Linked DNA regions of Caenorhabditis elegans. The protein of the gene in region 1 interacts with the protein of each later gene in a pairwise test. Each region holds a gene or a part of one and is shown in the gene's direction. Other genes may lie near its edges.

What was found.
Region 2: the proteins of gex-3 (region 1) and puf-6 interact in a two-hybrid assay, tested with the Caenorhabditis elegans proteins (one large-scale study listed by BioGRID).
Region 3: the proteins of gex-3 (region 1) and lin-13 interact in a two-hybrid assay, tested with the Caenorhabditis elegans proteins (one large-scale study listed by BioGRID).
Region 4: the proteins of gex-3 (region 1) and lin-66 interact in a two-hybrid assay, tested with the Caenorhabditis elegans proteins (one large-scale study listed by BioGRID).

What each region holds. Positions count from the first base shown.
Region 1 is NC_003282.8:12,402,282-12,410,359, forward strand, and holds gex-3 (Membrane-associated protein gex-3), read left to right. Parts: upstream 1-2,149; 5' UTR 2,150-2,153; coding exon 2,154-2,265; intron 2,266-2,315; coding exon 2,316-2,416; intron 2,417-2,462; coding exon 2,463-2,612; intron 2,613-2,682; coding exon 2,683-3,054; intron 3,055-3,103; coding exon 3,104-3,152; intron 3,153-3,208; coding exon 3,209-3,422; intron 3,423-3,474; coding exon 3,475-3,784; intron 3,785-3,834; coding exon 3,835-4,576; intron 4,577-4,634; coding exon 4,635-4,859; intron 4,860-4,910; coding exon 4,911-5,732; intron 5,733-5,781; coding exon 5,782-5,894; intron 5,895-5,943; coding exon 5,944-6,159; 3' UTR 6,160-6,409; downstream 6,410-8,078. Other genes in the region: dsb-1 (Double-Strand Break factor), read left to right, coding at 6,654-6,731, 6,777-6,895, 6,945-7,111, 7,160-7,542, 7,593-7,910, 7,969-8,061. UniProt on the Caenorhabditis elegans protein: Rac effector required for tissue morphogenesis, cell migrations and egg laying. May play a role in egg laying and in yolk protein clatherin-mediated endocytosis by oocytes during oogenesis.
Region 2 is NC_003280.10:13,038,168-13,045,748, reverse strand, and holds puf-6 (Pumilio domain-containing protein 6), read left to right. Parts: upstream 1-2,303; 5' UTR 2,304-2,338; coding exon 2,339-2,443; intron 2,444-2,513; coding exon 2,514-2,972; intron 2,973-3,643; coding exon 3,644-4,296; intron 4,297-5,328; coding exon 5,329-5,569; 3' UTR 5,570-5,954; downstream 5,955-7,581. UniProt on the Caenorhabditis elegans protein: RNA-binding protein that binds to the consensus sequence 5'-CUCUGUAUCUUGU-3' in mRNA 3'-UTRs and modulates mRNA expression and stability.
Region 3 is NC_003281.10:7,705,489-7,712,010, reverse strand, and holds the start of lin-13 (Zinc finger protein lin-13), read left to right. Parts: upstream 1-2,519; 5' UTR 2,520-2,538; coding exon 2,539-2,619; intron 2,620-2,662; coding exon 2,663-2,844; intron 2,845-3,525; coding exon 3,526-3,999; intron 4,000-4,043; coding exon 4,044-4,260; intron 4,261-4,307; coding exon 4,308-4,652; intron 4,653-4,705; coding exon 4,706-4,962; intron 4,963-4,999; exon of another isoform or gene 5,000-5,149; intron 5,150-5,217; coding exon 5,218-5,419; intron 5,420-5,466; coding exon 5,467-6,014; intron 6,015-6,063; coding exon 6,064-6,142; intron 6,143-6,194; coding exon 6,195-6,522. UniProt on the Caenorhabditis elegans protein: Involved in repression of vulval fate, possibly by a tumor suppressor protein Rb-mediated mechanism. May act in a common pathway with retinoblastoma-like protein homolog lin-35 and hpl-2 to influence the ER stress response in the intestine.
Region 4 is NC_003282.8:13,885,810-13,895,122, forward strand, and holds lin-66 (GATA-type domain-containing protein), read left to right. Parts: upstream 1-2,279; 5' UTR 2,280-2,401; coding exon 2,402-2,540; intron 2,541-2,591; exon of another isoform or gene 2,592-2,612; intron 2,613-2,693; exon of another isoform or gene 2,694-2,714; intron 2,715-3,030; exon of another isoform or gene 3,031-3,051; intron 3,052-3,282; exon of another isoform or gene 3,283-3,303; intron 3,304-3,745; exon of another isoform or gene 3,746-3,767; intron 3,768-3,941; exon of another isoform or gene 3,942-3,979; intron 3,980-4,066; coding exon 4,067-4,335; intron 4,336-4,453; coding exon 4,454-4,734; intron 4,735-4,862; coding exon 4,863-5,010; intron 5,011-5,060; coding exon 5,061-5,465; intron 5,466-5,473; exon of another isoform or gene 5,474-5,497; intron 5,498-5,859; coding exon 5,860-6,316; intron 6,317-6,364; coding exon 6,365-6,549; 3' UTR 6,550-8,176; downstream 8,177-9,313.

The sequences.
Region 1 (8,078 bases):
GCAGGCCGCCTAAACCTATGCCTGTAGGCATTAACACCACCACATTCGAATCTTCTCCTTCCGCTTGCCATCATTATTTTATCACCAAATCATTTTGTTTATGAATTTCAAAGACATGTTCAGTCAGGTCTTTCAATGAAAGACCTGTTCCAGGTGGGAACTGAACTGCTTTCCCTTTCCGGGTTTTGCAAATTTATTTGCCAAAGAAACACGAAAAACTGATGTTTGGATTTGAATAAGTTCTTTTGTTTAGATCAAATTACAAGTCAACATTTGGAATAATTATGTTTTGAGAATATTTGGGCTGTAACGAAATATAGAAAATTGCAAAAGTTTTAGAATTATATTTATATCTAGTAAGACTTTAGAGTTATCAAAAAGTCTTGAACTAAGAAAATTGGAAACTTTTAAGATGAATATCTTATTAGTTGACGAATCCTGGATAGCATCTGAAATGTCTGACTATGAGATATAAGCTTTTAGGTCAAAAGCTTGCCATGCACAGTTTCAAAAAGTATGGAATTTTTGAGTTTATTTTAGGTATCTATTCTGTGTTCGTAGACTATGTAGAAGTAAAGTACGAGAAAATGCAATGTAAAATTTCAAAAGAGCCAAGATATGGGCGGAGCCTAATTTGGAAAATCAGTGCAGCATTGTCAAAGTTTATGCTATTAAATACTTAAATCAAAAACTTTGAATTTTAATTTAAAATCACCAACTTGAGTCTTGTCACGATCGAAACATTTCAACTAACGAAACAATCAAAGAGGTACGGTAGTTGAAAAATTCCGCGCGTGCCAGGACCCGATAGAAACTGTTCGATCGGTATTACGCAATGTGTGTAAAACGATTCAAAAGAACAGAAAATAATTGTATTACAGAGAACGGAAGAGATAAAAGTTGTATAGACATATGGAAACTAGAAACACGTTTGACACAGTGAATAGATTGAATGAGGCGAGCTGTAGAAGATGGAGAAGCTGTATGAATGCGATGACTTCGCACCTTTTCTGACAGATTTAAGATGAAGATAGTTGTTTTTTTTGCAAGTTAAATGAAACGAACAAGTGAAAACTTTGAATCCAAAAAGTTTCATAAAAAGATATGAAATGAAGAAAAATGTGTAGAAGTAACAAAAGTGAGTGGAAGTATTCAACGAAAAGCGATGGAAACATTTGAATGAAAGGAAGGCCTCCCGGGAAAGAGGGAGAGAAAGAGAGGCTAACCATCCGTCCGGCCTTTCGTCAAACCCGTTTCTCTCTTTCACAGTTTCCCGATCCTTGCTGGTCTCATGCTTCTTCTTCTTCTCCTCCATCTACAGCCATTTCGGTGTTGTTCGCTATTGTAAACGATGTGAGAATTTCTTCGGACTATCAGAGAGAGAGAGATAGAGAGAGAGAGAGGGAGAGAGACCAGCTATCTATAGCATTTGACCTGATAAGAAAGCCGATTCGAATCGACGGTGGAAAGGTTTGATGAACTAAGCTGCCACGGAGGGACGAAGAGATATAAATTGGAAATATTTGGAAATATCAAATGAAATATTTCGTAATTGGATGTGAAACTGTCTGTCTGTATTTAGGGATTTACAAGGAATTTTTGTTCTTCTCACTAAACAATCACTATACATAAAGTGGGGAAATAATTTGGAAAAATATGATTTTTAAGAAAAGTCGACACAAAAGTTCACAAAAAGCTTGAAAGTTCATAAAAGCAACATATTTGGTGAATAGTTCTTCAGTTTGATTTTATGTTTTTTTTTTCCAAACATTCCAAATATTTTTTTTTGTTCGTTTTTCCAGTTCTTGAACCTCGTCAGTGCCATTCACGGTGATCTAGATCATATTCTGCGGTGACAAATTGCAATAAAACAAGAAGTTTATTCCCCATTAAATAAACTTCTTTTGTAAAAACCTGAAAATCTGTCTGAAAATAGCTTTTTTAAATATTTTCGTGGTCTAGATTTTTCGTGGTCTACATTTTTTATAACGGTCTCCCTCTCTCGTTCAAACTGCCGCCAACAAAAGAGCGCAATAGAGCATGCTTGCACAGCCGTGGTGAGAGACACCTCTTGTTTAATTGAATGCGCCTTTAAACTGTAATCCAATTTGTGACTCATTTCCCCTTCAATTTTCTCTCCAATTTTCAGCAAAATGGCTTACAAAGATGCCAGACAGGTGAAAATTGCTGAAAAACTTGTGATACTGAATGATCGTGCTGCTGGAATGATGACACGGATATACAATATTAAGAAATCAAGCGGCGGTGAGTAGTCTTTGAAAATTTCTGTTGTTATAAAATGCTGAAGATTTCAGATTCAAAAGTGAAACCACAATTTCTTAGCGACAAGAAGATGGAAGGTGCAATCAAACATATAGTTAGAAAGTTTCCTGTTGTTGATTGCAGATCGAATTCAGTGAGTAGTTCAAATTGTTGATTTCTCATGCCGAAATTAATTTCAGTCGACGTTCGAATATGTACAAGAAAAGTCCACGGAAATTACAAAATCTTTATCGCTATATTACTACACATTTGCTGATATTCTTGATTTAAAAGATCACATTATGCAAGTTTTGACAACTATGGAATCATGTCAATGTCAGCTGGATGTGGTGAGTATATTATTGATTTTAAATATTTATATCGTTCGTATAATGTTTAAGCTAAAATTTTATTTTTTAGACGCTCAATTACGACCTGACAACGAGTTATTTGAATCTTGTTGTACATCTCGTCACAATGATGATTCTTTTATCAAGAATTGAAGACCGGAAAGCTGTTCTTGGACTTTTTAATGCGGCATATGATCTACAACACGGACAAAGTGAAGCATCATTTCCAAGATTAGGACAAATGATTCTTGATTATGAAAATCCGTTAAAAAAGCTTCATGAAGATCTCGGACCACTGAACAGGCTAATTTATTCAGCTCTTTCTTCTGTTACACACACATATCAGCGCAGAAACAAGACAGCAGATTCATGGAGAACATCAAATGTTTTCTCGTTGACCGCTGCTCCAGCACAAATTTTATATGCTGCTCAAACAGAAACTGTGAGCAAGTTTTTATTTAATGGAAAATTATTTATGTAAATCGTTTCAGATTGCATGCGAATATCTATCACTCGACGTCATTGATCGATGGATTGTGTGTAAGTTAATATACAAATTAGTATTAAAATGTTTATTAAAATTGTAATATTTTCAGTCTGCGGAACAGTATGCCATTCAACTCTTCTTAACGATGACAACATTAGGCACATGTGGCAGCTGGCACTTCAAATGAATCTGTGTCTTCGCGTTTTCCGAGACGAAACATTTATTGTTCATCAAGAGATTCAAGCGTTTTTAGAATCTTCCAAAGAAAAAAGCAAACGGTTACAAGATGTTAAAGATGCGTTCAATCATGCATCTGTTACTGCGTAAGTTAAAAAATATGATAAACAAAGCGTTTTCTAATAATTTGTATTTCAGAGTTGCCGTCCACGCAGACCGTCGCCGCTTCCTTAGAAGTTCTCTTCGAGAGCTGTCACTTTTACTACGAGATCAGCCCGGACTACTTGGCCCGAAAATTCTCTATGTCTGGATGGCTCTTGGAGCAGGAAGAGATGAGGTCATATGGCTTCTACGGCATCAAGTTGAAGTTCCTGCTATCAGCAAAAAAGGCAGCAGAATGGTCGAGGAGCTTGTTGACAGGCAACTTCCAGAACTGCTATTTTATATGCTGGAATTAAGAGATCTCGTTACGAAATATTATGCAGTGATTCAAAGATACTATCTACAGGTTTTGTTAAAACTTTAAATTTATCTATTTTAAATCTTTTTTATTTTCAGTACGTGTCTAGCTATGATTCAATTGTTGTTTCTGAAGAGATTAACCAAGCAAATGGCCTCACCCAGGAAGAAGCGGTTCTTTTGACCGATTTTGCCAACGAAATAGGAAATATCAACTCTGATACGGATCTTCGTGCTCTTCGACTAGACTGGTTTAGATTTCAAGCTTGGACATCTGCTGCTCGGAGCCATTTCCAACTTTCAAGACATAAAAAACTCGCAATATACATGAATACTTCAGTTTTTCATCTGAAAATGATCGATTTGCAAGACGAGATGCTAAGGGAAACAAGTGATTTATCATTATACTGCTTCTATCCAAAACTCGCTGAAAAACATTGGCTCAACTGTCTCCAGCTACCTGCTCAAGCTCGATATGTGCTCAGTTTTGCACGTCTTGCCGCGCATTTCACAAGCGCCCTCCATGACATGTGTCCTGAAGAAAAAGCATTTATCACTGAAAAAGCCTTGGCTCAATGCAATTCTGTAATTGAAGAGACGTGCAAACAATTGTCATATATCCTGGAAAAAGTGGCTGAACATGAATTCGGATTAGCTTATCAAATGACACCGAGCGCCGTGGCTGTAAGAGTTGTTGCTCAAGTTGTTCAACAGAAAGGATCTGGAAAAGCTGCAGCGGCGGCCGCAGCAGCCGCTCGAGATTATTTCATTGCTGGAGAAGAAAGTTATCGAGTTGATCGTCAAGCATTAACAATGCCTGATAAGTTGCAAACAACTCTTCGTAAGTTTTAAAACGTTTTTTAAATTAGATTTTATATCACAAATTTCCCACTTTTCAGTTGAAATCTCTGCAGCTCTCGGAGCTCATCGTCAAATTTACGTTGCTGATCACACATTTGCACCGAGGACGTACCTAGCGCAGTCCCTTGAAACTAAATTTGTAGAATTGCTTCATGGAATGTTCTGGGAAGGTCAACCACATGCAAGTAATCCAAAAAGACCAAGTGAAATGCTCCTTGCGCTACAAGCCTACATGACGGTTCTTCAAAATCTTGATACAGCAAGTAAGTGGTTTTTAAAATAATCTATAAATATTCTCATAAATGGAATTTCAGTTTCTGTGGATATCAGTAATACAATGCAAACAACTCTTCTACAACAAACTCAACTCGTTGATTCCAAGAATAAAGACACAATCGCAGCACTCTACACGAAATGGTATCTCGAAGTTTTGCTCCGTCGTGCTTCATCTGGTCATATGGTTTGGAGTGAGCATCTACGAACAATGTTATCATCAGGACAGGAACAACTCTCGTTCATGCCCGATCATTATTCAGATCCTCAAGAATTGAGAGCATTGGTTCAAATTATCGGACCTTATGGAGTAAAGTTGATGACTGAACGGCTGATTTGGCACGTGGCCAGTCAAATTATGGAGATGAGCAAGATTGTTGCAACATACAAAGATGCTCTACAGATTGCTAGATCTAATTTCGATAATGCTGAAAAGATGAAGGATGTTTTAAATCTTTTGAGCGTCGAACCAAAGGACAAGAAAACTCCGAACGCAACATGCGCAGCTGATGCAATTCTGCAAAGAACTATTATTATCGGACAGATTTGTCTGTTTCGTGATGCTCTCCACGATGCTCTTCGTCATATCGTCGAATCTAAATTGCCATTTCTTCAAGCATCATTTGATATGCTTTATCACAATTTGGACGATGTTGATAAAGTTAAAATTGGAGAAATGTCAGCTGCGATGGGAGTCACAGGACCAGTTGATATGTCGTTGGTGAATGCGGTTCGTGCTCAAAATCCGAATATTCACCCTCAAGAACACTATGTTAATAGTTGTCTATTGATGGTTGCCGTCGCTATCTGTATTCCACGAATTGGAATGTCGGATCTTTCGTCTTACAAGCCTAGCATTCAAGGTACATACTTTTACAGCTTTTTGCAAAAATTAAAAATAAACAATTTCAGCCAGCTTGAACAATAGTCACTGTGTTCCAATGGCGATTAACACTATCGGATCAGCTCTTTTCCATCTCCACGAGCAAAATGATATCCAGTCGAGGATGAAGGAGTTCTTGGCGGTTAGCTCTATCATTATTAACACATATTCTCACCTAGAAAAATTTTCAGCTCGCGTCCTCGGGTATTCTACGAACTATTCATGAACGTGATAACAGTCGACAAATATCCGACGACGTTCTTCGTTCCCACACAACTCTCTACATTATCCTTGAACAGATGGTTCGGAAAAACCGTTGGCTGTCGATGGATGTTCTTGAAACCTGTTTCCCATATAATCTCGTCCGTACAGCCTACCAACAATGCTACGAGGCTGATGCTCAATAATTTTATCTGCGATCCCAATATGTACAGCTACGATCCCTTCTCACATACTTCCTGTGCCTGTATTTTATTTATTTTATTTTTCTTTCTTCAACGAACCATTACTATACGGGTTCCCGCTTCCGAATACCGCCTTTTTGACTATTATTCCCTGCATTTTCGTGTGAATCATTGCTCCCAAGTACTCATTTTGCCTTCCATTTGGCTTTAATTTATTGCAGTTTGTCGTCATAATAAACTTTTTATCAATTTATCAAAAATTTTTATTTTATCTATTACATAAATGCGATTAAATTTTAAGTTAAAAAAACGAGAATTAGCTAAATTAGATATGCTTGGTAATTTGAATTTGAATTCGCGCGTAAAAGTGATGGATGGGTCTCGCCACGACCGGCATGCAATTTTGAATTTTTTCACATTTTGAGGTCCAATGAGGTCGAAATTTTTAGACATTTTTAGTAAAAAAAAATTATTTATGTTTTTGCAGTCTCTTCAGTATGTTTCCTGAATTGCAGACACTCCAGTGGCCGATCATAAAGTATAAGCAATTGAGAGGAAGCGGTAATCGACAAGAGGTTTTAAAAATAGATGAATTCTGTATCGAAAAGTTAAATTTGCAGGGCAAAGATATTCGCGTTGTTATGGAGGTGAATAGCAGGAAGCTGACGGTTATTCATGGAGTCGAGCCGATCGAGACCGTTTATTGTAACATGGAAGTTTCTAGGTATCCGAGTTTGAAGTGAGTCTTTGTTGTTTGAGAAATTAAAGTCAAATTGCCCGGTTTTCAGAATGAAGAACACAAATTTGTTCGTGATTGTAAACAACCAGGCTCAAGGTTTCCGATTAACTCTTCGTGGCGAAGATCGGGAGAATTTTCTGTCAACTGTCAGAAAATTTGCTTATATTTCGGAGACTCCAGTTAAGGATCATTTGAATCGCTCATCCACAAATACCGGTATTCTTTATTCTTTTAATAGTTTCAAGTTTCATTTTTGAATTATAGATGTGTGGTACAACAGTGTCGAGAAACGGAAGGGAGGATCGTCATCACAGCCGACATCCTTCTCCCAACCATGCGATATTGATATTGGTGGCTCGGTGAAGAAATCCGCGGCAAGAAACTTATCACATACGTATTCCACCAACATTGGTGAAAGTTCCCGGATGCCAGCACTCACAGCAAATGAATTCTTCTCACAGCCAGTCTACAATCCTTACAATAGGCCAGCGTCGAGTGCCAGCACTGTTAGTTCATCGATTGGCTCGGCTTACAGCGTTCTCCACGATGATTCACCATTTTCTGGATTTTCGCCAAATTCGAACCATTCTTTGCAATTTCCGTGTCCCAGCCCATCGCACAGTTCGTCATTTTCCGGATTTTCGCAGGTAAATTGAAAATTAACTGGAATATCCCACCCTATTAAATTAATTTTCAGAGTTCATCACACTCTTCTCAATTGTCCTCCAGTCCCGCAAACGCACCTTCATTTCCGGATTTTCACAGCCCACCCTCTGCCAATGATATCCAGATAGATCAACTCAATCCGGTGACTGTGGCTCCTCAAATCAAGCAAACTGCGGACAAATGCGTTCAAACAGATAAACAATATGTTGATGAACGTTTCGACGATCCTGCTTTCCTGAGGAGATACATAAAGAGAGTTATGAGTGATTCAAAAATGGCGAGATTGGTTGGAATGATGCGATCTGAAATTCGAAAACTTCCAAATGACGAATTTGATGCATTTTACAAAGTAAGTTTCATTTGTTAAATAATAATAAAATTGACCGACTTCAAAACATAATTTACAGAAAGTCAAGGATCACCAACGCACTGCTCCCAGCTCGTCATCAAAAATCGGTCCCCCAGCTATCGTCCAACAAACTTCTGATATGGAATTTTAGGCGAATCACCTTCTGCA
Region 2 (7,581 bases), on another chromosome or scaffold:
CGATTCTCTTTGGATTTTTTTTTCGAAAATTCGAACTCCGATAAAAACTATATTTTTCGGGGGTTTCAAAAAAAATTCCGAATTTCTAAATGCTACTACTCACTGCGCCGACGCCTCCTTGCACGTGTCACATGCAATTCTTCTGAAATTCCGTTCGACGAGGCGGCGTGGAAATTCGACGTTTGTGTGGGATTCATCTCTGCAAAAAAAATTATTCACAAAACATAGAAAAAAAAATTTAAAAAATATTTTTTTCGGGGTATTTTATTTGAAAAAAAAAACAATTTTGATAATCGAAAAATATAAATTTTGTTTAAATAATTGATAAAAACTTATTTTTTAGTGTTTTTTTCATAAACAATTTGAAAAAAATTTTTTAGTAAAAAAAAGAACACATAAATATTTGAGTTTTTTTTAAATCAAAATTTTCGATTTTTCCAGAATTTCCGTACCTCAGGCACAAGTCATTGAAGACGATGAGGTGCTCGCAGACGCCTTGATGAATGTAGACATATGGCTGACCGAGCCGACAAATGAGATCCCCGATCCTCGTCTCCGACATCTGTTTCACGTGCATCGGACCGATGTAGTCGAACTTTTTGGCCCAAGTTCGGATTGTGCTGAAAATTTGGGGTTTTTTGTTGAAATAGAGCAAAAAATAATATATTTCTGAAAAAAAAACCAAAAAATTCGTTTTTATCAACGAAAATGTCTTAATTTTCAGTTTTCTTTTGTTTTTTCCCGATTTTGCGGCGTAAAAAATCATTTTTTCTGAAGACTAACGAAAAATCAATAATTTTCAGAAAAAATTTGTTCCTTTTCGCTCAAAAACACTGAAAAACTTTTAGCCGGCACCCTTGCTCACATCGACGGATCCACAAACTGGTTGCCAGTGTTCGAGTCGATATAAAACGTGTCATGAATGAAGAACATCGACGACGGCCACTTATTTTTCGCCATATCCTTGAACGACGGCTTTTTCTCGCTAAAATCGTCGGAAAACGAGAAATCGATGGGGCACGAGAACGCGTTTTTCAGATCGCGAAGCGTGTGATCTCCGGTGAGCTCGAGCCGATCCGTGACCTTCATCAAACGTCCGAGGCGAATCTCGTGGTATTGAAGGGTACGGGTGTAGCCGAGATACACGGAAATGCTGATGATCAGGTCCTTTTCCGGATGGTCCATGTTCAGTTCGACTTTTGGCGTGGGCAAGGCGGCTTCTCCAACGGAAACCACTTCTTCCTTCACCTCGTCGATCTCATCATCCATAATTTCCTCTTTGATATAAGTCGGAGGCATCAGATGAGGCGATTTCCTTGCCAACGCTCTATGATCGATGTGATCGTAGCGGAGAGAGCGGAGCGCGATCGATTTGAACTGTGGATTGCGGCGCCTGGAGTTCTCGTCGAGCAGAATCGCTTGCGAGCCGAGCCGATTTCTCTCGATGCCACCGTCCATTTCTCTGTTGAAGACCATCGACGAAATGTGGGAGACGCTGGAAAATAGAAAAATAGTAGTTTTTAAGGGTAAAAAAATCGAAAAACCTACTCAATTTGGCGGTAAATGTCTTCCGTGATCTTCTCCGAGAGCCCCGTGGCCTGCTGGAAACTTTCTCAAGCGTTGGAGCCCGAAGCTAGAAGTTTGCATTCCTCTGCGGATGCTTTGGCGAAAAATGCGAACGTTCTGGAAATCAAAAAAAAATAATTTTAGGCCAGAATAACAAAAATTGGAGCTTACTTAAAGCATACAGGCGCAGAGATGAACGGCTGCTCATCTGACTTCATAACAATGTCCATTGACATTTTTCTGCAAAAAAATTGAGTGCAAATGAGTGAAAATGTGTGAAAATCGAGCGAAAATTAAAAAAAAAATCCCAAAATGGGAAGCAAACTATCAAAAACTCCAAGTTTCGTGGTGAAACCTAATACAAAACAGCCATGTGCCTTTAAATCCACCGTAATCCATGAGCACCGCCAAACTCTTCATTTTCGAATTTTGGCGAGCGATTTTTTGCAATTTTTGTGAAAATGTTTAATTTCTCCTAAAAAATCGAATTATAATAATTTTTTTCTTCAAAAATGTAAAAATAAAATAAAAGTGTTCAATAATTTTAAATTTCGCGTCAAAACCTTACTCAAAACAACCATGCACCTTTAAAAATCACCGTAACCCGGGCCACCGCGAAAAATTCAATTTTGAATTTTGATGCGCGGTAATTTAGCGATTTTCGTTGAAATTTACATGTTTTCCTCTCATTTTCACTCTTTTTTCCGTTGAAAATCCTAATTCCCAAAATTTTTCAGCGTCTACTAACCTGTATTCATTCATTTCCGTCTAAATGACCCCGAATCGTAGAAGCACGGACTCGTACAACATGCTCGGCGCGTCGTTCGATTTCGACCCGGATTTCTCGCTTTTGTCGAACAAAACTCACAAGAACAAGGTAGAATATTGCATAAAAACTTCTAATTTAAATAAAAAATATAATAAAAATTTAAAATTCGAATTTCCAGAATCCAAAGCCGCCGGTCAAGCTTCTTCCCTACCGCCACGGAAGCAACACCACCTCCTCCGACTTGGACAACTACATCTTCAACAGTGGATCGGGATCTTCCGACGATGAGACCCCACCACCAGCTGCTCCGATTTTCATTTCGCTCGAAGAGGTGCTGCTCAACGGGCTGCTCATCGATTTCGCAATCGATCCATCGGGCGTAAAGTTCTTGGAGGCCAACTATCCACTGGATTCCGAAGATCAGATTCGTAAAGCCGTCTTCGAGAAGCTCACTGAATCCACGACACTCTTCGTGGGGCTCTGCCACAGTCGAAATGGCAATTTCATCGTTCAGAAGCTCGTCGAGCTCGCAACACCGGCCGAGCAGCGGGAATTGCTTCGTCAAATGATCGACGGAGGGCTTTTGGTCATGTGCAAGGATAAATTCGCATGTCGAGTTGTGCAGTTGGCTCTGCAGGTGGGAGAAATACGTCTCGCCACGGGAATTCCGAAAAATAACTGAATTTTGGCTAAAATCACAATTTTTTGCTAAAGTGTCGCAGCGGTCGGAAATTGATTTTTCTTCGATATTAGCCGAAATTTTGCGATTTTTCCGCCGAAAAACGGTCCCCAGTCTCATCACGACAAATTTTTGTTAAAACAAAAAAGGTGTGCGCCTTCAAAGAGTACTGTAACTCCGAACTTTCATTGCTCCGGAATTTTTTTTAAATCGACGTTTCACTTTTTCCTTCTGTTTTTTTCCAAATTGCATGAAATTGGACGACAACTGTAGAAAAACATTGAAAATCAATTTTTAAAAAAATCCGCAGCAATGAAAGTTTAAAGTTACAGTACTACTTAAAGGTGCACACATTAACGAAAATTTTTTGTCGATGAAAAAAACATAAAAAATGGCTCTTAGAGGAAAATAATTAAATTTTAAGAAATTTTCCCGTAAAAATTGAAATTTGTTCAAAATATCGAAAAACGAAATTTTTCGATTTTGGTTTAAAAAAATCGCGACACAGAAAAGTTGGCAAAAAATTACGTTTTAGCTAAAATTAATCCATTTCTTCGAAATTTTTAGGGCTATTTTTGGTCTTTTTAGGCCTTGCCAGGTGTAATAAATCAATAATTTGTTAATTTCAGAAATTCGACCATTCCAACGTCTTCCAGCTCATCCAAGAGCTCAGCACATTCGACCTGGCGGCAATGTGCACTGATCAAATCTCGATCCACGTGATTCAACGTGTCGTCAAGCAACTTCCAGTTGACATGTGGACCTTTTTCGTGCATTTCCTCTCGTCAGGAGATTCACTGATGGCCGTGTGCCAGGACAAGTATGGATGTCGTCTCGTGCAACAGGTCATCGATAGACTCGCCGAGAATCCCAAGCTCCCGTGTTTCAAATTCCGTATTCAATTGTTGCATTCTCTGATGACGTGTATCGTCCGCAACTGCTACCGGCTGTCTTCCAACGAGTTCGCCAACTACGTCATCCAATACGTCATCAAATCGTCGGGCATCATGGAAATGTACAGAGACACTATCATCGATAAATGCCTGCTCCGTAACTTGCTCTCAATGTCACAGGACAAGTACGCGTCGCACGTCATCGAGGGAGCGTTCTTGTTTGCACCGCCCGCGTTGCTTCACGAGATGATGGAGGAGATTTTCAGTGGATATGTGAAGGATGTCGAGTTGAATCGTGATGCGTTGGATATTCTTCTGTTCCATCAGTATGGCAACTATGTCGTCCAGCAAATGATTTCGATTTGCACCGCCGCTTTAATTGGCAAAGAGTTAGTTTTTTTTTTTGTGATGAAACGTGGTAAAATTCCGGAAAACGGATTTTTAAAATTATTTAGCCGGAAAAAAAGAAGGAAAAACCTTTTATTTTTATCTAAAAGCTAATTTTTTGAAAAATTGAACATTTTTTGAAATAACAAAAAACCAAAAATCGACGCAATTTTTTAAATGATTTTCGCACCACAATACGGTACCAGGTCTCGACACGTCAATTTTTGGTTAAATTCGAAAAAAGTGCGCCTTTAAAGAGTACTTTAACTTCAAATTTTTATAGTCTACTTTTTCTCCCCTGGGTAGAAACTTAAGGATTTTGAATTCAAAAAAATCCATTTTTATCGAGAAACTATGACAAAGCGAGAAAAATACTGCATGTCGATTCGAGACCCCGGGTACCGTATTTTGATCGGAAAAACGTGAAATTTCGCGTCTGAGTATTATTTGAGTTCGGTGAAAAATTTTTTAAAAAATCAGAAATTCGTCTTCATAGAAAAATTTGAATTTTTTTCCGAAAATCCAGAAAGATCCAAAATTTCACAAAGGCAAAAAATTTCTGAACATTCCACGTATTTTGGCAATAGTTCTTAAAAAATCCACATGGTACTAAAGTTTCTGTAAATTTGCCCAATTTTTTTCTTCAAAAAATGATCCACGTGGCTTGGAAAACGGTTTTTTCCGGCAAACGGCAAATTGTCGGAACTAAAATTTTCGGCAAATTGTGATTCGGCACATTTTTTCTGAAAATTTCACAGTCTCAATTTTAATCGGCAAAATTGTACGCATCCTATAAATGTTCCTACATTTATTTTGAAAAGTCAGTAAAATCTATGAAAATATCTAAAGAAATCGGGAGAAAATTTCAAAAAGGCACAGTTTTAAGTGTTTCCGTCTTTTAAAAATCCTTTTAAAAACTTCCGGCAAATCGGCAATTTGCTGAATTTGCCGGAAAAAAAATTGCCGCCCACCCTGATTTGAATATTCACTAATTCTGTAAATCCAAGTGTTAAGGAAAATCTTGTTTTTTCCAGAGAACGTCAACTTCCACCAGCTATTCTGCTTCTCTACTCTGGATGGTACGAGAAAATGAAGCAGCGTGTGCTCCAACACGCCTCCCGTCTCGAGCGTTTCTCATCTGGAAAGAAGATTATCGATTCGGTGATGAGGCATGGAGTCCCTACTGCTGCAGCAATCAATGCACAAGCTGCACCATCATTAATGGAATTGACCGCCCAGTTTGACGCAATGTTCCCCTCGTTCCTGGCTCGTTGAGCATCTTCGACAATTATAGATTTATAGCCCCAGCGTTTTACTTCTTTTTTTTCACAAAATTCTAACCGTAATCCAGCGTAATTCATGTGTAATGGTAATCGATAGATAATAACCCACATTTCTACTCGCCCCAGCAATCACCTACTGCTCCTGTATTATGCAAATTTACATATCATTATTCATTATATATACATATAGCTTCACAATATTGCCACGTGTACATTTTCCCTGTTGTCATCTTTGTTTGTGAGTTGTAGGTCGCCACCAGAATCTTTTTTTGCCCGTTAATTATCTAAAAATTGACGTGGCCGTAATTTATCAAAATTCAAGCAATTTATCGATTTTTACTATTTAACAACAATTAAATACATATAAAGAACTTTCCTAATTTTCAACTGGAATATCAGGAAGCTTATACCCGAATAGCAAAAAGTCAAAATAATACATTTGAATTATTTTTCGCAACAAATACGGACTGCTCAAAACAGTTTCCTCGACGGCCGCCCGTTCCACGGAATCCATTGTGCTGTGTGGGGTCCGGTGATGGAGACTTCCGTCTGGAAAATTCATAGGAGTTGCAATTCCGCTCCATTGGGCTCTCTTGGGTCCCATTGTCCCCAATCAATTACGGTTTTCGCGGTGAGACCCAAACTTGATTAAGACTCACTAATAAAGTTAATTCCATTCTCATCAACTCCCCGCTCGGACAGCAGTCGAAGAAGTTGATTTGTGAAATTTGCACCGTCTAATTGAAAAATTTGGTATTTGACAAGATGAGACGAGAACTCGCATCTCCTGAAACGACAAATATATCAAATTTCACAATGCAAATGCGCTCCATTGAGACTTTATCTATAGAGCGCGTTTACCGATACCAAGATTGTGGGAAAAAGTGACTGTCGTCGAAATCGATTCCTTTATACGGATTTATCGACGAAACATGTTAAATTCTGGGCAAAATGCGGAAATTTATCGTTTTTTTGAGCTTTTCGAAGAAAAAAAATTGAGAGATTTTCAAAAAAATTATTTTTAAACATTTAATTTTCAAAGTTTTCAAAAATTCAGAAACATTTTAGTGTCAAAAGTTTAGCATTTTTGAAAAAAAAAACTCTTAAAAAAGTAAATCATGAATCATATATTATTGAAACTCCGAAGAGAAAATTGGTGGCCTAGTCTCGACGTCTTCGTTTATCCTCAGTCTGTCGAACGGGCAAGTTTAACGAAACTACCATTATGATACAGATTTAGAATTTCGAAACAATGACAGCAAATTGTGAAATGATTGAATCTCTTCTTTTTATTTTTTCCACGAGTTTTTGTCTGTTTTTGTGTTTTTGTAATCCATTACAGTTCACGTTATTTATTTATTTTTAGGGTCAATGAAATTTTTCCGAAATTTTGCAATTTTTTCTCCAAAAATACGGTGTTTCCGATCAGGGGTGAGCGGCAATCGGCGATCGGCGATCGCCGATCGCCGATCGCCGATGGAATTTTTCAATAAATTCATCTCGATTTTTAAAATCTCATGTTTTTTTTTACGATTGTTTTGTTGTTTTTAATTTTTTTTTTGAGTAAATGTTAATTTTTTCGTCGCATTTCCTTACCAAACATGTTGATTTTATTCATTTGTTATTGTTTTTATAAATAACTCGTTAAAATTGGTTTTTTTCAATATAAAAATATAGACGAACGCCGATCGCCGAAATTTTTCGGAAATTGGTGATCGCCGATCGCCGATTTTTTTGGGCGACTGCTCAGCCCTGTTTCCGATCTCGAAACGGCAACATTTTTGTTAAATTCAAAATTTTTAGAAAATAGATTATTTTTATTGTTATATTCCAGTTGTTTATTTCGCCGCGCCAAATGTTTGGAGCTACAGTACTCTTTAAAGGGACACTCATTTTCGCATTTAATCTAAATATTTATATAAATGTGTTGTGTCGAGACCGGAAACCGTATTTCGCCAAATTTTGCGCCTGAGCAATATTTAGCGATGCAAGTAGCGAGTTTTT
Region 3 (6,522 bases), on another chromosome or scaffold:
CGGTTGAATTAACAATCGCGCTCTAATGAAGACCACCTCCCGATTCGCACCGCATCGTACCAATGGTAGTTTAAAATACAGACTTTGTAGTCCCAAAAATTAATTTTTAAAAAGTATTTTTCCGCATAACTGTACTCATAGTTGAAGCTTCAACAGCTGTAGCAAATGATATCGGTGAAAATAATTTTCGAAATTCATTCTATTTATTTTCGGTAGTGTGTTTTCATAACCCCCGCATGCTTTTTTTCTTAAAATGTTCTAACCTTGCTGTGAAAAAAAAACGCGCGAGGGTTGCGAAATAAGCGTGCGCGAAACCGAATTTTTGGTTCCTCCTTTCCTGTTTCCGTAAATCCTGTGCGTTGCGTGCGCGTTGCGGTTTTCGAATTATGGAAGTGCGCTCTACCGAAATTCGCATTGCTCGACATTTTCCTGTTTCTACAGTTATTTACATTTCCCTTTTCAAATGTTTTCAGTAAATCCAAAAGTTTAGTTTTTTGATTATTGTTCTTCTAATTTTTTCTAAAATTTCAAAATTAAAATTCTTTTAGTAACACTACAAATTAATTTATATTGCAAAGTTCCAGTATTAACTTTTCCTAAGCCCAGTATTAACTTTTCAAATCAATATCGAATCTTAATTCTATCCTAATTTCTCTTCTCAAAGTTATTTATTGACTGATTTTTAAACTTTAATCCTATTTTGGAGTTATTGATTCTGCGTTGCGGTCGCGTCGCGGTCACGCCACCCGTTCCTCACTTTTGTAAATTTTCTGAAGGTATCCCAAACGAGAAATCGTGCACAGCGGCTGCGTCGCGGTTTTTCATTTATTCAGTCTCGTTTCGTGTGTGGCTGGTTATTTACGCGGGCTGCCGCCGCCCACTTTCTCTCTTCCCTGCAGTGGCCTAAAATTGTATTGACCGCCGCGAAGTGTCCGCAATTGTGCGCCGTGGTGAACATTAACACACACGGGACCGGAAAAATGTGTAGTGTGTTTTTGAATATTATTTTGTTTTCTAGAGAAAATAAATATAGTTTAGAGTACAGTAAAATTATCGCTGCAAGACCACACTATAGTTGCAGAGTTCTTGACTGAGCGCTTCTTTAAGTTTTCTTGCTTTTATTTTATTTTTCCTGCTCATTGGGTTCAAATGTGGGCTTGCTCGAATTTCCACTTTAGCTGTTTTCTAATTTCGGAGCTGTATACTGTTCAAATCTATAGAATTTAACAATGTACTTTTTTCAAATGAATAAATCTGAAAAATGTGGCACCTGTAGCGATCACTATGACTGTGATCGTGGCGAGACCCGCTCAGAAAAACAACGTGTGCCTTTAAACTGACGAGTGAAATTTGTTGCGAAATTACGATAATAAAACTGGTTGGTGTGTTTGCACAGTTTTCGAAAGTTCTGCCTAATTTTTGGGGTCTGTACTTACGCGACAGAACATTTTATTATTTTCAGTGTACAGTATCCATTTACAGATACCCTTCTTTATTTTGAATCATCTGACCGTTTTAGACCCCAGTCCTTTTTGAATTTGTTTCCGTGGATTACTGTAGTTGCACAGCTAAATTTTTAAATATTTCAAACTGTCGTCAAATATAGCGCCGTAATGTACGCAAACACTTTGGGCAAAACCCATTCACTTTTCTTTTTTCTCCAATCGATTCGTCCTTGCTAGCCCCGTTGCAGTAGACACTGCAGCAGGGCAAAGAAATAGGTCTCGTTTCTCTGCGCCCTCTCCGCTGCTCATAGTCTTCCTACCATCGTTTGTCCGTCTGACCAATAAATATGAGAGACGCAGAGTGGCATATACGCTCTGCGGTACTTTCTATATGACACAGCCTTCAAATTCTCAATTCCAATGCGCGCCAAAAGATCGGTAAAAATTTTTGTCGCAGTTTCAAAATTTTTGTCGATTCCGTAACACGTTTCCGGATTTTGCTTTTTTAAATGAGAATATTATTTTTTCGGGGGTTTTAAAATATATTGAGTTTGAAGTATGACAGGATGTGCGCTGATTCTGCGTGTAGTCGTGTCGAGATCAGTAATTAGTGGGAAAGGGCTCACGAAAGTTCAGAGTTCGGTTTTTTGAAATCATTAGACCTCCAATGAAATAAACTTATCTAATAAAAAACCTAAACATTTTAAAGAGTTCTTATAAGTGTGTTCAATGGGTCGGACACGCCCACATAACCGCGCCCCGTATAAAATTTGTATCATAGTAGTGAGGTTAGCCAACGAATTGCAGTATATTTCACGCGCAAATTTGAAACAATTAAGTTACTGGTATTCACTATACATCGTAAAAAACCGAACAAACGTTTAAAAATACGCAAGTTAGGCGTAAATTAATTTCGAGAACATATGATAGATTCTTGAATAATTATCTTTGATTCAAACTGGAAGTTCATGTAGATTGATATTTTAGTTTTTTTTTGAGATAAAGCTTATCTCCAGTCATTCTTTTCGTTCAGTTCTCTCATTTTTTTCTGTTGCCTTTTTCAAAAAAAATTTCAGCTCTCCAAATAACAACTATGGATGAGTTTGAGCTGTTTCAACAGCTCAACCAAACAGCCCCACTCGTTAAAACGGAGGAGCCAGAAGTTCCAGATGAGGTGAGAATCAGTAATCAAGTTGTTTAAATTACCCCAGAGAAAGTTTCAGCAAGCGAATAACAATCAAAGCGCTCCACTGCGTACAGGATTATCTGATCTCAGTCATGAGATAGCAGCTGCCAAACAGAGAGAAGAAGAGGAGGCACAACGGCTTGCTGATTTTATGCAAAAGGATATGAAAGAGCCTGCTGTCAAGAGGAAGAGAGGATCAGAAGAATATAAAAAGTAGGTTAAGTTTAAGTTATTCAAGGAAACTTTCAAAAATGCACTTAGAAAGCATTCACAGTCAAACATTTGTTAAAATTGCTAAATTTGTGCGAATTTATTTAAATTTGTGCCACTAGAGCGCACTTTCCTCATTCGCAATTCACATTTTTGAGGCCCCACGAAAAGGGGAGCAGAACGAAAAGGGGATCTGCAAAAAGGGGATCTGCGAAAAGGGGAGATACGAAAAGGGGAGATACGAAAAGGGGAGCAACGAAAAGGGGAGCTGGCACAGTGCCAAACGCACAAAACGCTTTTTTATTCTCATTCAACGCACGACTTTGTTATAACCACACTCCGTTATTACGCATCGCGCGTTGTTTAGCGTAAAATACACAAATAATGCGTGCGTTGAATGAGAATAAAAAAAGCGTTTTGTGCGTTTGGCACAGTGCCAGCTCCCCTTTTCGTATCTCCCCTTTTCGCAGATCCCCTTTTTGCAGATCCCCTTTTCGTTCTGCTCCCCTTTTCGTGGGGCCTCACATTTTTCTTGCATCAGGTAATTTTTTAAATTCAATTTAGACTGAGTTTCACCGAGTTTTCATTTAACTGAACGAAATCTAAATACCTGGTTAAATTTTTATTTTTTCATTACCATAAATCAAAAAGGAATTATATTTACACTTACATTGAATATTTCAGAGATCCTCTTGAATCGAAAGCTCCGTTATCCACATTTGGACACTCTTCCCGACCCCGTAGATCAGTAAACTACGCGAGTATTGAACGAGGTGACGAAGCTCAAGCTCAGTCACTGGTTACCGATTTTGGAAGCCGAGGGAACCGGAAAAAGCCGAAAAGAACACGAGATGAGCTGGACGAAAATTATATGGAAGAAAATGAGGGTAATTCTGGCCGAAAGAAGAAACCTAATGCAAAAGGCGCATCCCGTCAATTTCAAGTTCCGGGTTTACCAACCTATGCTAGTCAATATTCAAGACCTCCAAAACAAGAAGATGTGTTTAAAACGATTGTCCCATTAGCAGAAGATGCGCGAGCAGAAGGTGAACGAGTAATTGGATTCCGACTAGATTCACAACCTGCTGTACGGAGGGCTTCTGGAGGATTTCGACGGTTTTGTGCATGGCTCAGTGATAACCAGATTTTTTCGATAATGTTAGTTTCTAAAGCAACGTTCAGATTCTCAATTTAAAATTCAGGCAAACTGTCGATAAACTTTGTATCGTTGGGGCAAATAATGAAGATCATGACGAAATCCTATTGAAAAGTATTCGTCATGTATACAATGCAATGCCTCCAACGTTTCGTCGTGATTGGGAGTATGCTGCAAGGAAGGATGTGTTCGATTCAAGACTTTTTGTTCAAAATATGCCGATGCCGCTTTCCGAAATCTCGGTCACGGACCCGCGTCATCCGGTAAAATTTACGGTTGTTGATATTTATCTAAATCAAAAGTTTTCCAGCCAAGTCCGATTGCGCGCGGGACAACTGTTCGCCCAAATTGCTGTGAAAATCAGCCATTGTTCTTAAATATGTGTGAAACTATTGAACACTACCTAGGACATCATGACGTGGTTCACCTTTTCGGATGTGATATCTGTTACAGAGTTTATCCGTCTCGATATGAATTAACTAAACACGATTGCAAAGAGTTTGCGGAGTACCTGCGTCAATTAACTTTCAAACAGCAAACTTTACATCTTGAAGCCGCGTACATGTACCTCTGCTGTTCTCAGTGCGGATTGTGGCTGTCGGTAAAACCATCAGGCGAAGGAAAGAAAGGATGGACGTATTTTGCAACTGCATTGGTGAGTCATGAGTGATTATACATTTTTTTCTCTGATTACAATTATTTTTACAGATGAACCATTCTTGTCAACCGTTGGTTCCGGTCGTTGCTTACTTCCCAAAACCGTTGAAAGATGAAGGGAAAGGAATACGAATTCAATTTCAAGTGATGTCTGAACTAAACATTGGACTTCCGCTGAGTTGTTCTGAATGTAACATTGAAGAATTTCATTCTGTTGTTGAAATCGAAGAGCATTTCAAAGAAAAACACGAGGCTAATCATACCTGTATAAAATGCGGAAAAACATTTGGAACCGAGTTTATGTTGAAGTGAGTTTTCATTAGAAAAAAATAGTTCATGAAGTTTCAACCACTATTCAAGTTAATCTTATGAAAATTATTGATAAGATGATTATAGAACTGTGGAATATAAACGCGAAGCGAATTATAAAAGCAGAGTGTTACTTTCCAAAAATGTTTTTTTAATGAAATTTTTGGTCTTAGACACTCAGACAACAAATACAATTTAAAGATATTTATTTTTAATTGCTTCGAAACTTTTTTCTTTATTTCTTCAAATTTTAGACATCACGCGCAATCACATACAACTCAAACCGCACAGTTCGCCAACTATTTACAAATGTCGGCTACTTACCAACCACCACCGAGTTCTGGACGTTTGCCATATGTCGGTTTTGGATCGAGTATTCCTGCGATCGGAGGACTCACTAGCGGAGAAGTACAAGCTCTTGAAGCATCAGAAAACAAAAAAAGTGAATTTGTAGAGGTAGAGTGCAGTGAAGCATTTCAAGTTCTAAAATATTCAAATTTCAGCCAGATGAGTACACTATCCGCAAAAAACTACTTCGGTGGAAGCATGCAAAAACTAAGAAGGAAAATCGTAATATTACTGATAGTAACGAGAAGGAATTTTCATACGAACCGGGAGAGTCCTCTGGTGAAGAAGATTTTCAGAAAAGTCTTCTAGAACAAGATAATCAATCTTCGTCTTCTTCTGATTCTGATTCCGATAGTGATGATTTCACATCAAGCAAACAAAAGAAGAAAAGAAATATCAAGATTCGTGGAGATTTGGGATATGAACATATTAATAGAAATAAGTTTTTCGAGCGGCCCGAATCGGAAAAGGAGGCTAGAAAACGAATTGAAAAAGTATACAAGAAGCACGTTTTATTGTCCAGAGAACGTCTTCTTGATCCTGAAGAAGCGCTGAGAATACTAGAGGAATCTCGCATGGTGCATCTGAATTCAATCCAAAGTACCCTAGCGGACGATATTGCAATGAGTTGCATTCGAACTATATCACTTCCTGCATCGAATTGTATAGACCCATTGAAGGACTTGCTGCTGGTTAACAAAATGTAAGAGAATCTATTCTGCGTTATTATCAATTATCGTTAACATTTTCAGCTTCTACTTCTGTACCAAATGCAACTATATTTTCTCCAAAGATCCAGTAGTACATTGCTTGAGCTGCGAAGTTACAGAGGTATGAATTTTTATTTTTATATAAAGTATGTTATGGATATGAATATTTTCAGGACGATCTTATCGAAGTTTATCATGCTGCATCTGGTCCACACGCAGGTGTTCGGTGCATCGATCCCGAATGCAAAGCTCACCTATGCTCCGTGATATCCTTGAAAACTCATCTCAGTGATGTACATTCCAAGCAAGCAACGCTTGAATTAGTTTCCGGTGAACTCGATAATTTCTCTGAAAATCGATTTGATCGATCGCTTATGTTGATGGCAAAACATTTCACTCAATTACAATTCGACGAAAGAACATATCTTGCTCGATTCACCGATATTGAATGCTTCATGCCATTTTCTGGATTATTGGAGGCGAAAGATCAACCACGTCCCA
Region 4 (9,313 bases), 1.5 Mb from region 1:
TATATTTCAAAAATAATGAAAAATTGCAAAATATTAATATTGGGTACTGTAGCTGCAAAGTTTCAATCGTTTCGAGACCCAGTACCGTGCTTTTTCTTCAAAAATCGCCAACTTGCGCATCTGAATAATTCGTTAAGCGCCTTTAAACGGGGATTACTGTTTTTTATTACATATTCATTTTCCGTGTTCCCAAAAAAATTTAGCAGCAATATAATTGATTAAATTAGCAGTAGTACAAAAATTTGAAACAAAAACCACAAAAAGTCGTTGCGACACTCGATAAAACCCGCCCGGCAGTCCCAATTAAAATCAATTTTTTTCCGTTTCACTGGATTTACAAAAAATGTTTCTCGAAAATTACAACAATAAAACGAGAACTGGCATGATACTTTTGAAAAAAAAATTCTCAGCTACAGTACCCATGAGTACTGTAGAAATTTATTTTTATTTTTGGTTTCTTTCTGTAGTTTTTGATTTTCAGTTATTTCTTGGGGTAAAAAAACAAAAAAATATTTAATTTGGTGTGAAAAGAGGAAACGTATTGGGAAACACTACAAATATTCTACCGTACTCTTGGGTACGATAGCTGAAAAAATTTCGCTCGTTGCGAGACCCCAATCTGCAAATTTTCAGCGCTTCCGCTTGCAACGCGGCTTCGGTAAAATTTTTGAAAATTTTAAATACAAAAACTACATATGACTTTATTGAAAATCTTGAAAAAGGCCAAATTCCTTTTTAAATAAACGTGGAAAATTGCGAAATAATATTTGTGGGTACTGTAGCTGCAAAGTTTAAGTCGTTTCGAGACCTACTACCGTGTTTTTACTTTAAAACTTGCAAACTTGTACATCTGAGTAATAGCGCCTTTAACCCCGGATTACTGTAGTCTATATTTTATTACACATTCGTCATTTTCCGTGCTCCCAAAAAGTTTAGCTACAATAGAATTGATTAAATTAGCAGTAGCACAAAAATTTGCAACAAAAATCACAAAAAGTCGGTGCGAGACCCGTTAAATCCAGTCCCAATGGAAATACGATTTTTTTTCCGTTTCACTGAATTTATAAAAAATGTTTCTCGAAAATTACAACTGGATTAATTTAATAAGCAGTGCGACATGAGCAAAATTTTCTGAGCTACAGTACTCATGAGTACTGTAGGAATATATTTTTTGTTAATTTTTGGTTTTTTTCTTCTTTAGGTAAAAAAAAACAAAAAACTATTAACTTTCATGTGAAAATATCAAACGTATTGGGAAACCCTACAAATATTCTACCGTACTCTTGGGTACGGTAGCTGGAAAAAATTCGCTCGTCGCGAGACCTCAATCTCGCATTACTGTATCTTATTACACATTCGTCATTTTCCGAGCCCCAAAAAAAGTCCCTAACAACATTTCGCAACTCTAGTACTCCTTATCACTTGAAAAAAAAATAGTAGACTACATCTTATCAACATGTTTTTTGGTTACTTGACAGGTATACTGTAGTAGTGCAGTAGAGCGCACTTGGCTGCGTGGAGGGACCCAGGACCAATTTAAAGCTTGTGAAGCGAGGATAATCCTTTGATGACGCTTCTTCTTCTTCTTCACATGCATATTCATATATTTTTATAGACTATTCTTCTGCTGCAGTACCCTTTCCTGTGTGCTTATTGATTTCCTCTCTCTCTCTCTCTCCATCCCTTTCTCTCTCTCTCAGTCCCCCAATAGATAGATAGACCGGGCCGGGGTGGGCTGAGTGGGTTGTGTGTTGCGTTGCTGGCTCACCCGAACGAAAATGAGGGTGAGTGCGAGAGAGTGCGGAGACGCAGACCTGGTGTCCCTCGGGCACGCTCGCGCACACATATACAGAGTGGTTAGAAGAGTCGTAGACGCCGAGACAGAGAGATCACTACTCTCCGATGAGCGTTTTTGCGCGAGCGAGCGTCCGTGAGCGTGAGTGTTGAGCGGCGGGCACTCTCTCTCTCTTTCTCCTTTCGGGACACAGCGCACATCTTCCCGTCTTTCTCTGTTTTTCTCTAGCTGTCTCTCTCACACGATGCACTCTCCCTCTCTCTCACTACACACAACCCCCATGTTGTTTCTTTTCACATACTTTTTCTCCGTCTTCTCCCCTATTTTTCGTTTTATTCTTCTTATATTTCTATTCAGTTTAGTTTTCATACATATATTTTTGAGTGCGTATGTTGCTGCCCAAATTCTGTTCTTTTACTTTTTCCTTCTAAGTCATCTCCGATCCTTAACCAACTACTCTAATCTAATCAAATCAGTATTCCAGTATTCTCGAGGCACCGAGGATCCATCACGTCATCCATCCCGAACGATCGATCGACGTGTTGTGTTGTCTGTGGTGTGTGAATCGACGCGACGACGAACGGACTGAAGACAGCTTGAAACGGGATGTCTTACGAAATGAATAGTCTCTTCTCGTCGAATCAGCAACCACTCGGAGGGGGACCACCACCTCAACAACAATCACAGCAGCAGCAACAGCCACCACAGTCGTTATGGTCACTCCAACAGTTTTCGCAGATGGGAGGTAAGGAAGCACCCCACCAGTACTCAAAGATCAATATCGATCCGAGCCCCCGATTGTCTAGCTCTAAGTTCAACAATACCTCTCCTACAAGGAAGGCTTTAGTGTGCATCGTATAACGGTACTGGATACGATAACATATATAAAAGTTCATATGCAAATCTTTTAAAAGCGTTAATATGTTTGATTCTTAAGCTTCTGCTTTATAACCATTGTGAAACAGTACTTTTTTGTTCGTGTGCACCATAGGACTAAAGGACTAGAGTTACTATAAATGTACTCCTAGATACCCAGGTTTTCTAGGTTAGACCCTTTAAGGAGTACCGTAGATTTTTAAGAGATCTCGTGTTGTAGTCTTTACAGGATCCGCTTGACTTATTGGTTACTGTAGAGGTACTCGAATCACGGTACTGGATACGTAAGCATATACCGTATTTCGTCTATTAATCGTGATCTCTTTTAGTCTTGCATGCAATACTAAAACAGGAAATTCGGAATTAAATTGGACCAAACAATATTTTTGATTCTCACGCGTTTGCTTTATATCCATTGTGTAACAGTATTTTTTCTGATAATCTAGGTTCACGGGACTAGCCAATTAAAATTATAAAGGTACTCCTAGGAACCTCAAGTTTTCTACGGTAGACCCTTTAGAGGCAGCCGTATCATTTGTGAATATTACGGAATACGGTAGATTTTCAAGAGATCTGGTACTGTAGTTGTAGGATCCGCTCGACATTTAAGGTTTTGTCGGAATGAAATGGTATTACTTTTCCTTCCTACCTGTTAACCTTTATAGATATTATGAAGCAATATTTTGTGAGGGGCCGGGTCCCGCAGCGAAATCATATTTTTTAATAAAAATGTGATTAGCATTACATGCCCCTGTAAAACGGAACCTTACGAAGGCAATGGGTAGTGCAAATGCACTCTACCGAACCAGGTTGCAGTGACTACAGTTATACGGCACACAAATTGCGTACAGGGATCACTTCTCGAGCACCTTGTACCCACGGCCATCATATAACTTCTACGTACCTTAACCTACCGTAGTTTCAACTTTGTGCATTGTGTCAAATGCCTAGGACGCTTATGATTACGCAATTTTTAAAGTACGGTGAGCAATTAGAGGGGACCTAGAATAAATTCGAAACGCACTCCATTTTATAGTTTTAACTTCCATTTCACCCTCCATTCAAATTTTTTCTAGAACAACCTACTAATTGAAAACTGAGGTAAATTTGTCAGGTGCCAATATTTCCGTTAAATTTGAAACAGTAGAATTGTAAACTAATAGTAAAAAGTTAGTGTTCAAACATTCGATCCCGTACCGTAACCTATCGTAGTTTCCACGTTGGGTACTATCAGCGAAAAAACCTAAGATATTCATGATTAAGCAAAAATTCAAAACGAAGTGAGCTCGCATTGCGGGTTCATAATTAATTTTTAGGTTTTAATATTTTTTAAAAATCAAATAGTTGAAACTGCAAAATTTTTTAATTTTTCTCCCAGACATCAGTTTATTTCAGCCCCGGACAACTTTGGGAACCACGCGGTCCCATTCATGCCAACACTCGGAATGCTGAATCAGTACCAGAACCCACATCCACTTCAGATGGTCCCTCCACAGCCTCTCGTCACTCCATCCCAAGTCCTTCCACCGTCTATGGCTGAACAACAGAGAGCCGACACCATCCATGGATTCGGAGTGTTGACTTGGTTGTCTGCCAAGGCTGGTCTGATCACTTGCAAGGACAAGATGATCATCTCGTTCCAGCTCAAGGACTTTTGTGATCAGGTTAGTACAAACCCTTTTCGATTATAAAGTACCTTATAAAATTAGCTAATCTAATTACCCATATGATCTCTATGATCTACCAAGGTTAGCCTCACTTCAACATCTGACAAATTTTCAGATGCTCAATGACTTGACTTCCGTGCTTCGTGTTGGTTTCACATTGTCGTTCCACGCTGCACTCAATGAGACAAGCGAGTACACCGCCACCATTGTCTCACCAATCTATGGTCCCGATGCTGATGTTCTCTTTGCAAACTCCCAAGAAGTCGACCTAGAGGCGGCAAATCCAACTCCACCAAACTCGAAGGATGCCTACTCGCCGGCTCTCGAGCAGAAGGCGATTCCAGCTCTCTTGGCAATTTTCCAACGCCACGGATTGCAGCAGATTCAGCTGAGCAGGTAGGATAGATGTTTTGAAAGTTGCTTGATTGCTAAGTTTCGCTCTTTTGTGCCTCCTTTCTATATATTAACTGACCATTCCCTTGCTCACCTTATTTGTTCGACGGCATCTCCATGACACCCTTCAGGAGTTTCAGCCTTCACTCTCAAATGTCCAACTGTGGGGATGATGAGCTATTCCGTTATGTTGGCACATCATCGTTGAAGCGTCGTCAATTCGTGGAGCGTCGTACTCATCTCTTCCGTCTTCAAAATGATGACTCCATCATTCTTCAGGTAAGCAATTCTTCAGAAGATTTAGATATTCTAAATCTATTCCATTTCAGTATCCAGCAGTGTATCAAGCTGTCTACCAATTGGCATCCTATCTTCTCCGTCGTGGTGGAGCCACATCAATCCAGTCGCTGTTCGACTACTACGGTAGCCCAGACATCATGCCAGAAGTTCGTAGCCATACTGGAGAAGGACGTCAGGACTTCCTCAACCTGCTGACTGCTCACAACTGGGTCTTTGCTCTGTTCCCCAACCGCACCTATGTCTCTGTTCGTCGCAATCTGCCAAACTATGACTATGTCGGATTCATCAAGCAGCACTTCCAAGAAATGGATATTACTCGTTCCCAGCAGATGGCTTACGGACAGCCACCACGTGGAATTCAGAGAACCATGTCGGCTCAGATGGGCAGCTCGTTCGCCACTGGAAGACCACAGAATTTGCTCATGCAGCATCAGGTAAGTATATCCATGATTAGATTAACAACGTAGCGGTTTTTTCCAAAATCACAAAATATTTCACAAGATGATGAAACAGTAGTTATCACTTTCAAATAGTTGAGTTGTGAGGTGAACACTGCAATGCCGTAGAGCTTTGTCGTGCTTGATCAAAAGACACGAATAGTTCTAGAATATCTGTAGCGCTGTAATTTTCAGGAAGCAAATTTTCTGGGGCCACAGTAGATCACCCATCGTTCTACTTTGACAGCCTATATCTCGGGTGTCCTTAGCTTTATCAAAAATTGTTCAACTATAGCGCAAACTTTTGTAAATTTCACAAATTCGTAACTTGACCATGCTCTTCACGTGCTGAAAATTCAAATTTCTATAAACAAAACTACATCTTTTTCAGCACGCCATGACTCCAGCAGCGACCCGCTCGGGCTCCCTCTGGGACTCTCAATCTTCCCTCTCTCAAAGCGGAAACAGTGGAGACCAATGGAGCCCTCTCTTCTCCCCAAGCACCTGGTCGAACAACACCAACGCGAATCCACGTCTCACTTCTCTTACTCCGTTGAGCTCGATGAACGAGACGCTTCTCTCGGGAGTCAACTACAACTCGTTGCTCGCCATGCCGCCAAGCGCCAAGAACGAGAGAAGCATTGGTGTTCAGGCTGATGACTTTTTGGATCGTATGTCTTACAATCCAATTGGACGTACCGGATGCACTTGTCAGTGCCAGTGTGGAAGAGGTGGAGCTGCGATCATTGGAAACACTCGTGGATCCTCTTCCAGAGCTTCTGGAGGATCGGCAAGCCCACCAAGTGCTGACGGTGCCAGCCAGATTGATCGTTTCTCGCCATCCAATCGTAAGTCAAAACTACAATGGGAACTAATTATAAATTTACAATTTTTAGATGCCGGATCAATTGGAGACCGTACTCTTACCGCCGCGGCTCTCGGTGTCGGCCTAGTCGACCAACAGCCAGCAGCCCCAAACCACGATGGTAGTGCTAACCAACCTCAGCGCTACTATGACCCTTTCGGAACCGCCGACTTGCTCAACGGCACCCGTTTGAACTCACTCCGTATTGGTAACTGAGTGATTGTACATACCAAATTTCTTTGTCATACTTCATACCCCATTTTTGATGTTCTTTCGTTTTTTGCTTTTCACCGAGTCTAAACCACACACATATTCACACGCAGTAATTCTAAGTCCCCACCCAACTCATCATCAATCTCTGTTCTCAAAAAATGTTTCTTTCCCTGTTTTTTTCCCTTGAAAAAGTCATCCCATTCACACTCCTCTTCCTCTTCCTCCCTCATTCAAACATGTAATTTTATAGCCGAACGGGTTAGTCAAAGACGCTTGTGCTATAATATGAGATACTTATCAAAATGTTTTTTTTCCGGCAAACCTGGAAACAAGTCGCGTAGAACTTTATCGTTCGGGTTTCGTGTTTTCTGGTGATTTAGTCAGTCTTTTTTTTATTTACTGTTTCTGAAAACACATTTTAAATTTCAAATTTCAAACCCCCATTTCACTTACACGTTTTTGTCTTGCCTTCACTTTTTCTAAGTTCCCCAAAACAATTTTTTTTGCAAAACCTACTCTCTGTGATTCCATTATAGGCAATTTGATAGATAGTGTTACTTACTAGTCATTCTCTTTTTTTCTCTCTCTCACTCACTCAAAAAAAGCTGTGTTACAAGTGCAAAACTCCTCCACTCCAACTCTGGGATCCCAATTTAACAAAAATTCTTGTATTTTCATTCAAAATAATTCGGTAATTCTATGTCTCTCGCTCTCTCCCTTAAAACAGTGATTTTGGTGCATTCATTCAGGTATTTTCACACTCTTTGATCGATTCACACCCACACCCACACACACCACTCCCATTTCTGTCGCAACCCTGTTACGTGTAAAAATTTGCAACCATCCGAATATACATCTATTGTAAACCTGTAAAACCCTACCACAACCCCCCGTACCGTAGAAATTTCAAAATTAGTACTACTTTGGAAAGCGCGACCCGGGAAGCGTCGGCTGCAACACACAGAGCGTTGCTGAGGCTATAGCTGTGATGCGCGCAACTCGGAAAGTGTCGGCTGCAGCACACGGAGTGTGAGAGCAGTTTTCCATAGTAGTTCTTCCCTTAAAACATTTTAAAAAAGTAAAAATCTTCCAAAAAAAAATTAGTCAACTAAATTAGTAGTTTGATGAGCTCTGGTCTTCCTCCATTCACCTCTCTCATTCACACTCTCTCTCTCTCACCTTCTCTCTATGTCTTTCCGTCTCTTGAACACTGTACGCGTCTCAATTTCCAATGATCTGTTTCCCCCCAAAAAATATTTGTCGAGGCTATTACCCCCTTTTTTATTTTTATTTTAATGTTTCAATATATCTTTAAAATCCACCACCATCCTTTGCAATATTATCTTTAAATATCACCTTTTTCCATACCATGTTTGCCTTTTCAACTCCCCTTACTTTTTTACAAGTTGGCTCTCACTCGTTCATTTCTCACCCCCTGTTTGGTACCTGTTTAAACGAAAGTGTCCTTTTCTCTCAACACAAACCACTGCAACTAAAAACCCCAACCCATTCACTCGAGTTTTCCACGATTGCACACGATTTTTAATTTGTGTATCATAATGATTTGATTGTCGGAATTCTTTTTTTTTCAAATGTTTCTCATTATTTTAATAAAACCCCACAAAATCGGATTTTATTGATTCATACTCCACCATCAAAAGTGTATTCAGAAAAATATGAAAATATTTTGCAATGGGTTCATCAATGGCCTCAATTCCAGTTTTACAGTAAAAGAAAATAGACATTTAATTTTAGTGATTTTTTTTCAAAATTCTACTGCTTCAATAATAAGATTTGTTTGTATTGTGGTTCAATGTTGATTCTATGCGAGATCATCTTAAATTAAATTTTAAAGGCTAGGTATATTTCGCAGTCAATTATACAAAATAACATTGTGGAAAACCTTTTTTTGGGGATATTTTTTAAAAATCTATAGGTTTTATAAAAATTCAATTTTACTTGTTTAATTTAGTACTGAATTCATCCAAATTTATTTCGGGTTTTCAAATAATCTAGCACACTTTGAGCAATTTTTCGTAGTCCAAGAAACCAAAAAAATTAGAAAAAAATAATTTTAATAGTCTCATCGAAAGAACGAGGGAACGTACATAATTATTCAGTTGTAGTAAATTTATCGGATAAAATTACTGTTTCATTAACAAAACAGAACACTGTTATGGTCATGTTCAATCTCTTGCAATCTCGTGACTTCCTGCAAAAGTATGTAAGAGAAAAAGTTTAAAAAATGTTTAAAAATTGTAGAAAACGTTAAAAAATATAAAAATATTTTCAGGTTTGCTCGTTCTAGTATTCAATTATGCTCTTGCAGTACAGTCATAATTCTATCAAATGTTTCACATTATTTTAATAAAAACCCACAAAATCGGATTTTATTGAATCATGTAGAATTGTCAAAAGTATATCCAGAAAAATATTAGCATATTTTGTTAAGGAGTCATAATGCCTCAATTCCTGGGCCCAATTCCAGTTTCACAGTGAAAGTAAATAAACATTTAATTTTAGTGAATTTCTCAAAAATTCTACTGTTTCAATAACCATGTATAAGAAACCGTAATAATGGTTAAATGTTTCATGACTCAATTTTTTTTCAATTTTCTTAAAGAGCAATGTGGAAAATCTTATTCGGGGATATTTTTTAAAAATCTGTGAATATAGATTTTATAAAAACTTAATTTTATTTCTTTATTTTATTACTGAATTTCTTCAAACTTATTTCGGGTTTTAAATAATTTAGCTCATCTTGAGC